2 linked regions of the Schizosaccharomyces pombe genome follow. The gene in region 2 interacts genetically with the main gene of each other region. Each region holds a gene or a part of one and is shown on either strand. Other genes may lie near its edges.

Evidence for each region. Genes that interact genetically often act in the same process or in processes that back each other up.
Region 1: mutations in cho1 (region 2) and caf1 together harm fitness more than expected from each alone (negative genetic interaction), as found in Schizosaccharomyces pombe (one large-scale study listed by BioGRID).

What each region holds. Positions count from the first base shown.
Region 1 is NC_003421.2:1,964,930-1,968,733, forward strand, and holds caf1 (CCR4-Not complex CAF1 family ribonuclease subunit 7/8), read right to left. Parts: upstream 1,926-3,804; 5' UTR 1,918-1,925; coding exon 910-1,917; 3' UTR 501-909; downstream 1-500. Other genes in the region: oligosaccharyltransferase complex zeta subunit Ost5, read right to left, coding at 1,926-2,104, 2,255-2,317, 2,374-2,416. UniProt on the Schizosaccharomyces pombe protein: Acts as the catalytic component of the CCR4-NOT core complex, which in the nucleus seems to be a general transcription factor, and in the cytoplasm the major mRNA deadenylase involved in mRNA turnover.
Region 2 is NC_003423.3:1,055,321-1,061,306, reverse strand, and holds cho1 (putative phosphatidyl-N-methylethanolamine N-methyltransferase), read right to left. Parts: upstream 2,944-5,986; 5' UTR 2,886-2,943; coding exon 2,356-2,885; exon of another isoform or gene 2,339-2,355; intron 2,301-2,338; coding exon 2,240-2,300; 3' UTR 2,181-2,239; downstream 1-2,180. Other genes in the region: pre-rRNA processing protein Esf1, read left to right, coding at 1-1,785; ubiquinone biosynthesis protein Coq7, read left to right, coding at 4,032-4,682; DNA-directed RNA polymerase II complex subunit Rpb4, read right to left, coding at 5,081-5,252, 5,327-5,404, 5,450-5,555, 5,594-5,645. UniProt on the Schizosaccharomyces pombe protein: Catalyzes the second two steps of the methylation pathway of phosphatidylcholine biosynthesis, the SAM-dependent methylation of phosphatidylmonomethylethanolamine (PMME) to phosphatidyldimethylethanolamine (PDME) and of PDME to phosphatidylcholine (PC).

The sequences.
Region 1 (3,804 bases), on a different chromosome or scaffold from region 2:
ATTATAGCTAATTAAGCTAGATTTAAGCGAGGTTATAAAAAATTAGTTTCTGCATGTCGAACAAGAGAAACAAGATCTTAGAGTTTTTATAAAATAAATTTTAGGTAATTCTTTTATGCTTGATCAAATTAACTAGAAGAATTATTGAAAATTTTCAGTATCTCAAGAAATGGTTGGGACGACGAGGTAGGTGATATTTTGTTCATTGGCTTGGGAACCTTAGTGATAAAATAAAAGCTAAAAACTAAAATAATAGTTTTGAGATTGTAATATTTTAAATCACAGGATAAAGCACCTATCAAAAAAAAAAAAGCTTTACTAACTAAAGTTGATGCTTGCATGAAGATTTGTTACAACATGCACATAGAGCTGTTTTGGGGAAGCATTGGAGTTGACCGATGATAAACATCAGACTTGAAATCTACGCCGGTTTGCACCGTTGATGCTGGGTTGGATGCTAAGCTATTACGAATTACAAATACACGGATACATTATCAGTATATGAAGGAAATGGACTATATTATCTATTAATACAAAACCCGATGAAAGGCTTTTTTTGCTTCCAGATGCAAGAGAGTTCATTTCGCTGGGAATGAAGATGAATAATTTTAAAGTAAATCATCGCAACAAAATAGAAGGAAAATGCTCCTCACGAAAATGAGTGGATACAAAAACTTTTATGCTGAATTAGCGGGAAACTCCAACCAATCTCTTAAATAAAAAGAAAAACATATAAAAATCCAAAGTATAGATTTTATGGAAAAAATCTAGAAAAGCATATCGAGTAAACAAGTTCAAGCAAGGGTATACGTGAGAAAACGAGAATATATTAAGTTAAAATACAAGCATCCCGAAAGTACTTTCAAGGACTTCAATTTTTTAACGGTATGTTTTCAACTAGCTCGTGATCTAAACTACACGAGGAGGAAATCTGAATGTTGAATTGGCGAAATTAGGTGCCGAAGAAGTATTCGTTAAAGTGGTGGGAATCCCAGCATTAGATGGAGTAGGACTAGGATGGGCACCTGGAAGATCTCTGAATTGAATCTGTGGGGTAGATGAATTGTTGTGCCATAAAACGCTACCGGTTGAGCCTAAACCGTATAGCTGGTTGAGCATCCTGGAATCAATGGAACCATCAAAATACCTCGACCTTATTTCGAAAAATATTCTCGCGGTTAGCAAGGCATCACTTCCAGCCTGATGTTGGGGTCCTATACGATGTATTTGTAAATCGTCAGCAATGTCTTGAAGACCTTTAGAGTTGTTCAACACAGATTTCATTATGTATTTTATGTCGTAATTTTTCGGAAAATAAATACAAAGAATTTTATAAAACTCCTCATATTCAGCGGGTAAAGGGATTTGTGTCATGGCTTTTAATAAATAGGCAAAGTCATATCCACTATGAAACGTTATCCACGTGACCTCCTCTTGCAAAACTAATCCACTACCAATGAGGAGCTCTGCAAAATCTGCAGGCTCTATGCCAACCTCTTGATGTTTCTTAAAGTCAATGCCACTTTTTGTGAGTAACTCTATGCTTTCCGGAGCGTACATATCGTCTTGTAGATTGAATGTAAAATTAAATTGCCATGTACATGCCTCGACAGGGGCATTTCCTTCCTCGTCACTTAAAGCAAGCCCAATTTGAATGATTTTTAATGAATCTACGTTTGCCCGTAAAGTTTGATAGTGGTAGTCATCACTACTTTTAAAGACGCCAAGAGGTCTAGCAACTACTCCTGGAAATTCTGTATCCATAGAAACAACTGGATACCTTTCTATTAGACTCATTATAAGATTCATCTCTTGTTGCAAATTCGTGGACCAAACGTCCCGAATTGGTGATATTTGGGAGCTGATTCCATCCACTCCTAATGCAGGATAAGAAAAATTCGAATTCATCGCTGTCATTACGTTTTTTAAACAGCAAAGCTATAATGTAAACCAACCTGGAAAAGTAGGTTTTCGTTTGGTGTAAGTAGACTTGGATTGTTGAAGAATCCGCTGAACATAGATGCGTTAATTGTGAATACTGTAATATACCACAATTTCCTTATATGAATTCTTCTAATCACAAGAGAAAACATTGATGATGAAACTAAAAGTTAGTCATAGAAGGGTCAACTATTAAGTTAGGTATTAACTAACCTACAAGTGAAACTAAAGTTATTTTAATGGAACAATACTGTCATATGTTTGTTTGGAATATTTATTAAATCAAAGACTTTCTGTCGGCTTACCAAGCTACTTTGGATAACGATTTGAACTTGGCAAAAAAATATGCAATCTGACTTTTGTTCTTTATTATAAACTTCTCGTATCTAAAAAATATTTTTTTAAGTAAATTTATGCCATTAGTAAGTCGACAGAATAATTTTAAAGCTGCAACGATTAATTCGTTCAAGCTCATTTATTAAGGGAGAGTAGCAGCAAGAAAGCTAAAGTATGAGTCACTTTGTAGAGTGTTGAAATGTTATCTTTAGTAAGTACTAAGTCCAGACCTCAGTGAGAGATTTCAAAAATACTATTTTCTGTAATTGTATCTTAATGTCAGCAATCGAATTGATGAGCCTAAACTTAAGCAATCTCATCTAAATTATTAAGATTTGATCTCTTATTTGGCAACATTATAACTGAAAGATTTTACTTTTCCCTTCAAACAACTCAAAAGAATTGTTGAGTCATGGCTGTCTTTAGTTAGTGTTAGTATCGCAAGAGGAAGACATGCTCCTTCAGCAACGATCTATCTTCTTTTCAAAATATGTGTATTATTAAAAACATAATAAATTTGCAGTATTTGGAATTCAAAATTTATTCTTTACTTTATAAGCCCAGCTTTGAATTCTTCAATAAGCAACATATTCGTTTTTTGTATGTTAAATAAGGTTAATTTTAAACGAGGATACATGTACCACTAAATTTTAACAAAATCCTATTAAAAATTAAATTTGTTTTTTCCCTAACTTTTAAATTACTTGTTTGCAGGTATTTCAGTTTAAATAGACATCTTAAAGGAGTATTTGAGTTCTTTTTTCTGACTGTATTCAATTAGAATTGGATTTCCTTATGGCTTAATGCCGCTTGAAAGATATGGAAATATGACATTAACAAATTTATACAGAAGCCATTTGACGTTCAATTCCTTATTCTATTTTCCAGTAGTAGTATTGCATTGAATTACCAGCACTAGAATTTCCCTTAAAATTTGTTATATTTACTTTTCTCCTTAATATTGATGGATGTTCAAATGTATGATTTTTCACCTTCGCGCTACCTATTTATAAATTTTTTCTTCACACTTTGATATTTTATTGTCAGTTAGTATTAATATGAGCCTAATGCATCTTGGCCCGGATTTATTTCGACGCAGGGATTTTGAAGGCAATAAATATAATCATTAACACTTTAGGTAAATGAATCTAAATTCTCGTAAATTTTTTTTTTGTTTAAATCAAATTTAATTTTCGGCCACATTTTAATAACAACATTTAATTTAATTTAACAGGGAACTGTTAAAAAGCCTTGATTATTGAACCAATTCAATATTTCCTTCAAAAATTAACAAATATTATATTTCTAAAATTTAAGCTACTCGAAGACTTTGACAAATACTGATTTAAACCTTACTGTAAGCAGTTGTCAATGCAGCTCTTACATTAAAAAAATTATTTAATAAAAATTGCTACACAATTAGGGTTCTTTTCCGATTCCTGCATTTTTACGGATCTCTTCTTTCGTATGTTTATCCAAGTTTGGTTCGAGTAACCTTCCAAAGTTTATAGAGTTTTAAGAAAAAGC
Region 2 (5,986 bases):
AATGAAGGGTCGTCCAGTTCGTCTGAATCATCGGAAATTACTGACAACGAAGAAGTCGCTTCAGCGTCTTCGAAATCCACAAAATCGGAAGAATTAACCGATGAGGAGTCCGAAGATGAGGAAGTATATGATCCAGCTCGTGGTGAGGGAATTATTAGTACTTCGGAAAGTAGCGATGAAAGCGACGCTGAAAGTGAAACTGAAGCTCAACCGGAGATATCCGAATTAGCTGGAATCGAGCCAGAAGAGAATATTCCTCGTGGTTCAGAAACTAACCGTCTTGCTGTAGTAAACATGGATTGGGATAATCTTCAAGCAGTTGATCTTTTTGTTGCTCTTTCTTCTTTTTGTCCTCCTGGTGGGAAGTTACTGAAAGTGTCGATTTATCCCAGTGAATTTGGAAAATCCAGAATGGCTGCGGAACATGTTCAGGGTCCTCCACGTGATATATTTACTCCAGCTGACAATCAACCTTCTAGCGCCGAATTGCATGAGGCTCAAAAATTTGGTTTTGATAACAATGAGTCTGATCAAGATGAGGAAGATGCTTTAATAGAGGAGGATTTAGGCAACGAGTTTGATATGGTAAAATTACGCCAGTATCAATTAGAAAGGCTTCGTTACTATTACGCAGTAGTGGAATGTGATAGTGTAAGAACGGCAAAGGTTATATACGAAACTTGTGATGGCGCTGAGTATGAAACTAGCGCTAATATTTACGATTTAAGATTCATTCCAGATGATGTTACATTTGACGACGATGAATCTCGCGAAGTATGTACTAAAGCGCCCGAAAAATATGAGCCGAGAGATTTTGTCACCGATGCATTGCAACATTCAAAAGTTAAACTTTCGTGGGATGCTGAGGATCCACACAGAAAGGATTTAATTAAAAAGGCTTTTACTTCTCAGGATATTGAAGATTTAGACTTTAGCGCTTACATTGCCTCAAGTGAATCTGAAGATGAGGATGTAGATGTTATTCGTTCTCGTTACCAAAAGTTATTAAGTGGTGATGCTGATGACTTCCAAGCGAATAGTAACCCTTTTGAGGATGATGACAAACTTGAAGGCGCCAATGGTGAGATGGAGGTTACTTTTACTTCAGGTTTTGATGTTGATAACAATGCGAACTCTTCGGAAAAAGATGAAACCACTATTGAAAAATACAAGCGTAAGGCCGCTGAAAGAAAACAAAGACGGAAAGAATTGAGACAGCTTAAGAAAACAAAAGACGATGAAGGTGAAGGATCCGACGTTGATCTTGGTTTTGATGATCCATTCTTTAAGGACAAGGATGCTAGTCGTAACAATAAGAAAAACAAAAAGGGCAAGCATACTCAAATTGAAGATCCTACGGCCGCGTCTAAAGAAGAACTGGAAAACCTTGTTCGTGAAGATGAAAACGATTCTGAGCAGCTCGATCATTTTGACATGAAGAGTATACTGAAGGCTGAAAAGTTTAAGAAGAATCGCAAGCTTAAGAAAAAAGCCTCCAATTTGGAAGGCTTGCAGGAAGGATTCGAAGCTGATGTCAGTGACCCACGTTTTGCTGCTCTATATACTAACCATAATTTTGCACTTGATCCAACAAATCCTCATTTCAAACGTACTAAAACGGTGGAAAAAATTATGGACGAAAGTCGTAAAAGACGCTCAAATCAATTGGAACAAACACAAGACGGTAAGCCTGAGCTTAAAATCAAAAAGCGTAAAGCTGAAAAAGGAGATCAACGTCAAGAACTTGATCGCATTGTCAAATCTATTAAACGTTCTGGAAAATAAATTAGAAATTGTACTCTGTTTTTCCTCTTGAACGATTGGATTTATAGAGTTTGATTTTGTACATATAAATTGGTCAAAACGGGGTTTTTTTGGTTTGCTAATATATTTGTTTTGAATTTTATTTGATTTTAGAATGAAAGCACGTTAATTTACATGGTGTAAAATATTAGATTATTTTTTACATAAGTATGAATATAAAAATATCGGATCATGGTGTTGAGACCGCGATCAACACACTTAAATAATTTGAAAAAAAAAGCGTTAAACTATGCATAATTATACAGACGTTGAAGTCGTCAAAGTACATAGGGCAAAATCGGTTAAAGGAGGAGCGTTAGTAAAGGTAAGGACTAGTCATGAACAGAACATTCCATTTAAAATTGTTCCTTTTTTTTTTTTTTTTATAAAAAACTCTAATGAAGCTTTAACTTATGGCCACTTCAAATCAGCTGCTTCACTCGGATTTTTTAGCTTGCTTGCTATCACGAGCAGCGTAAATTTTAGCAGTAAAAGGTCTATTAATGGTTAGAGTAAAGAAAAATTTAAAAATTTAAACAGTTGGCAACTTACTCTTCAAATTTCAAAGCTATTCTATAAACGAAAAAGACTTCCAAAGTTAAAAGGAGGCCAGCAACTTTTCCATAACGCAGAGCTGTAGAAAGGAAACAAAGAGTAGAACCGTTGTACATTGGGTTATCGTTGACATTAAATGGGAAACCAGAAACACGCTCTGGAAGCAGAAATCCAAAGTAATCACCAAGATATGTACCAACAAGTCCTAGCTTATACATACTCGATAAGACAAGGACGCTGCCAAAACAAAAAATGAGCTTAGCTATACCCTGCACAAGAGGGTTCATGAAGATACCTAGCGTAGGTTGTTGTTTTAAAGCATTCTGATAAATTAAGTCACGAACTATTCCGGCAACAAAAATACAAGCTGCTAGCATGTAACAGGCCTTCTTAGAGTCGCCATTTGCCAATTTGGTCAAAGTCTTATGATTGTATTCTGAACGTGCAGCAATATTCCATAGCAGAGGGTTCAAAGCAATAGATACAGCACAAATTAAAAAAGAATTATTGATTTCAAAAATGGCCATGTTTAGCGAAAAATATGCTTTTATAAAAGGTTGATATAAATACGAAGTTGGTTTGGGGTAAAGAATCAAGCTCATTCAAACGACGTCTTTGATACAACGGAATTTAACGATATTGCTATTTTATAAAATAATGAGAGAAGGCCTGAAAAACATAAGTACTCATTTGTGTTTAAAAGATTAAATTAGAAAAAGGAAAGAAATGATTGATTTCGCATATTTCAAATTGTAAATTTTCGATGGGGGAGGTGGGTGTGGTTCTGGAGCTTTTTTTCTATAACAAAGAAAATTAATCCATAATGCCAAATTACATTCTTGAATTATTAAGCAAGTCAAAAATTAATTGTGATGGGGTGTCTTTGAGTCTCTACTTGTACTTGTTATATCAGTAATACTGGAAATTTGTATATCTTCGGATTCCCCTTCGGTTGAACTAGTAATTAATTTAAAGTTTTTTAAGCGAAAATACAATGTTGAGTTGAATTGGTTGGAAAAAAGATAGGAAATTGGAGTTTACTTTAAAACTGCAGCTTAAATATGTTTTTTTTTTTTATTGTTTATAAGAAGCATTTTATTATTGAACTTCTATATCCGTCAAGATTGACGAACACTATGAAACTGTAGCAAAGCCATTTAGCTAAGGAAAAAAATGATACATTGCTTCTTTCCTGAAATTACGCCACTGTTTATTGAATCTCTTAGTTTAAAAACTAAGTATGTATTTTTCATTTTGACTTAAAAATAAAGTTGAAGCAACTGGTATTCACTGCGTTAATCAAGCAAAAGAATAAACGACAAGTTTATCGAATATTTTATTCCATAAAAATAGAGTGAACATCAAATCACTTAAATTTAATTCCTTCTTAACTTAACCATCTAGCTTGAATTTTGCAGATTTGTTCAGAGATTGATATGAAATACACCTCAAGCCTAACGTGTTACTCAACTAAGCATTTCCGCCTAAAACGTTCGGTTTGGTAGAGAACTTCACATTCTAATCCTCCACACCCAATCAACATCATAGTCTCTTTCGTCGAATATTTCAATCTATTAGTGAATTAGAAATATTGGTTTATTGTTGATTAGTAAAATTTCGTTTTGAAAATTGATAACTCTGTGTAATTTCAGGCCTTTTTACCATTACAAAAGATGTTGTCACGTAGACAGTTAATACCCATTGCTACCAAGTCGGTTTCTCCTTTTCTTCGCTCCTCTATAACATGCCGTAGAATTTCGATGGGCCGTAAAGAACTGAGCGAGAAAGACTCAAATATTTTGGACAGCGTCATTCGTGTCGATCAAGCAGGTGAATTAGGCGCTAATCAAATTTACAAAGGTCAGCACTTTATCCTTCAATTTACCGATCCCAAAGTCGCACCTACCATTCAGCATATGTGGGATCAAGAAAAGTACCATCTCGCAACATTTGATAATTATGTCTTAAAGAATAGAGTCCGTCCTACCTTTTTACGTCCTTTCTGGGACATCGCTGGATTTGCGTTGGGAGCAGGAACTGCTTTGCTTGGAACCAAAGCAGCTATGGCTTGTACAGAGGCAGTAGAAACGGTAATTGGCGGACACTATAACGACCAACTACGTGAAACGGCTCATTTGGAAAATAAAGCTCCAGAATTTAAAGAGATTCGTAGCCATTTGGCAGAGTTTCGAGATGACGAGCTAGAGCATTTGAACACTGCAGTCGAAGGTTGGAACGCAAAGGAAGCTCCAGCTCATGCATTGCTTACCAATGCCATTCAAATGGGTTGCAAAGCGGCTATCTGGATGTGTAAACGATTTTAAATACTTCAAGTTTTCCTGCCTCAAACTCAACTTGCTAGTCCTTTATGAAGCAAAGAACGCCCATTTGATTCAAAATGTTTAGTTTTTCTTGCTTCACAATAGTATGATCCTTGTTAAAACTTACTTAATCTAATTAATACATTTTATCTAAATTCCTTTTCGCGTGTATTCAGTGTTTGTATTATATTTTTTTAATAGACTAATTAAGAAGTGTATGGTGCATAAAAAAACATAGATTTTGTTAAAAAAAGTTTTATGACCCCTCATAAATTATGGAATAATAATGACAAAAACGTCGTATTATAAATCCTGATATAGCTAATAGTTTATAAGACCGGAAACCTTTTAAGTTTTCATAATTGACAATAAACAGACTTGCCTGAGATCTATTTATTGCATTAATCTTGAAATTTACGCAAAGTGGAAAGCTCATCCAAGATGCCTTGAAGATTTTGGTCATCAATTTTATTCGCGAGACTAGGAATCAAGGTCCTAGCCTCTTCAGCGTCTTCGCAGCAGAGTGTTCCCAATTGTGCACGTTCAAATTTATGGAATCGATTACCAAGAATTCTATGAGGTTAGTCAAATATTTGCATACGGCTATTTTCCTCTAAAATTCTATTCAATTCTTTGAAATTATGTACCTTTCACATGCATAAGTGGCTTCAGCCGTTTTAAACCGAGCAAAAACATTGAAGTAAGCTACTGTTTTTTTCATCACACTATCCTAGTTAATTAAAAAAGAATATGCATACAATAAGACATACTCAGTCATTGGAATCTCACCATTAGTTTCGCGTGCTCGTTGTGCCAGAACTGTTTCAATAAGGATTTTGGCCTCTGAAACCGTCAACATATCCTCATTCTCAAACTCTTTTTATATTAGCAACAGAATAAAATTCAAATCCAACCTGGACCAAGTTTTAATTGTGCAGCATCTTCCTCAAAAATAGCCCTCGGCATTATGAATAGATGCTCGCAAACACTCTCTTCAGAATGTTGTTTTTTCTTTTTATCTAATTAAATCAATAACTATTATACAAATGTATTCCCAAAAATAATGTCAGAATGCTCTTTATGCACAACAACCAGCTTTCTTGCTGTTGCTTCGTGTCTAAAAATCGCGTCCTTGATTGCAGCATTTCTATAGCCGCTGCTAATAATAACGATATTTTATATTTATCTTAAAACTAAATAACGATTGTTCTTAATAACATTATGAATTTACCGAGATGTACGGAGATGTCTAAGAAAAATTTATTTTATTGATATTTCTTAATCATTTGTCTAGCTTAACGACGCCA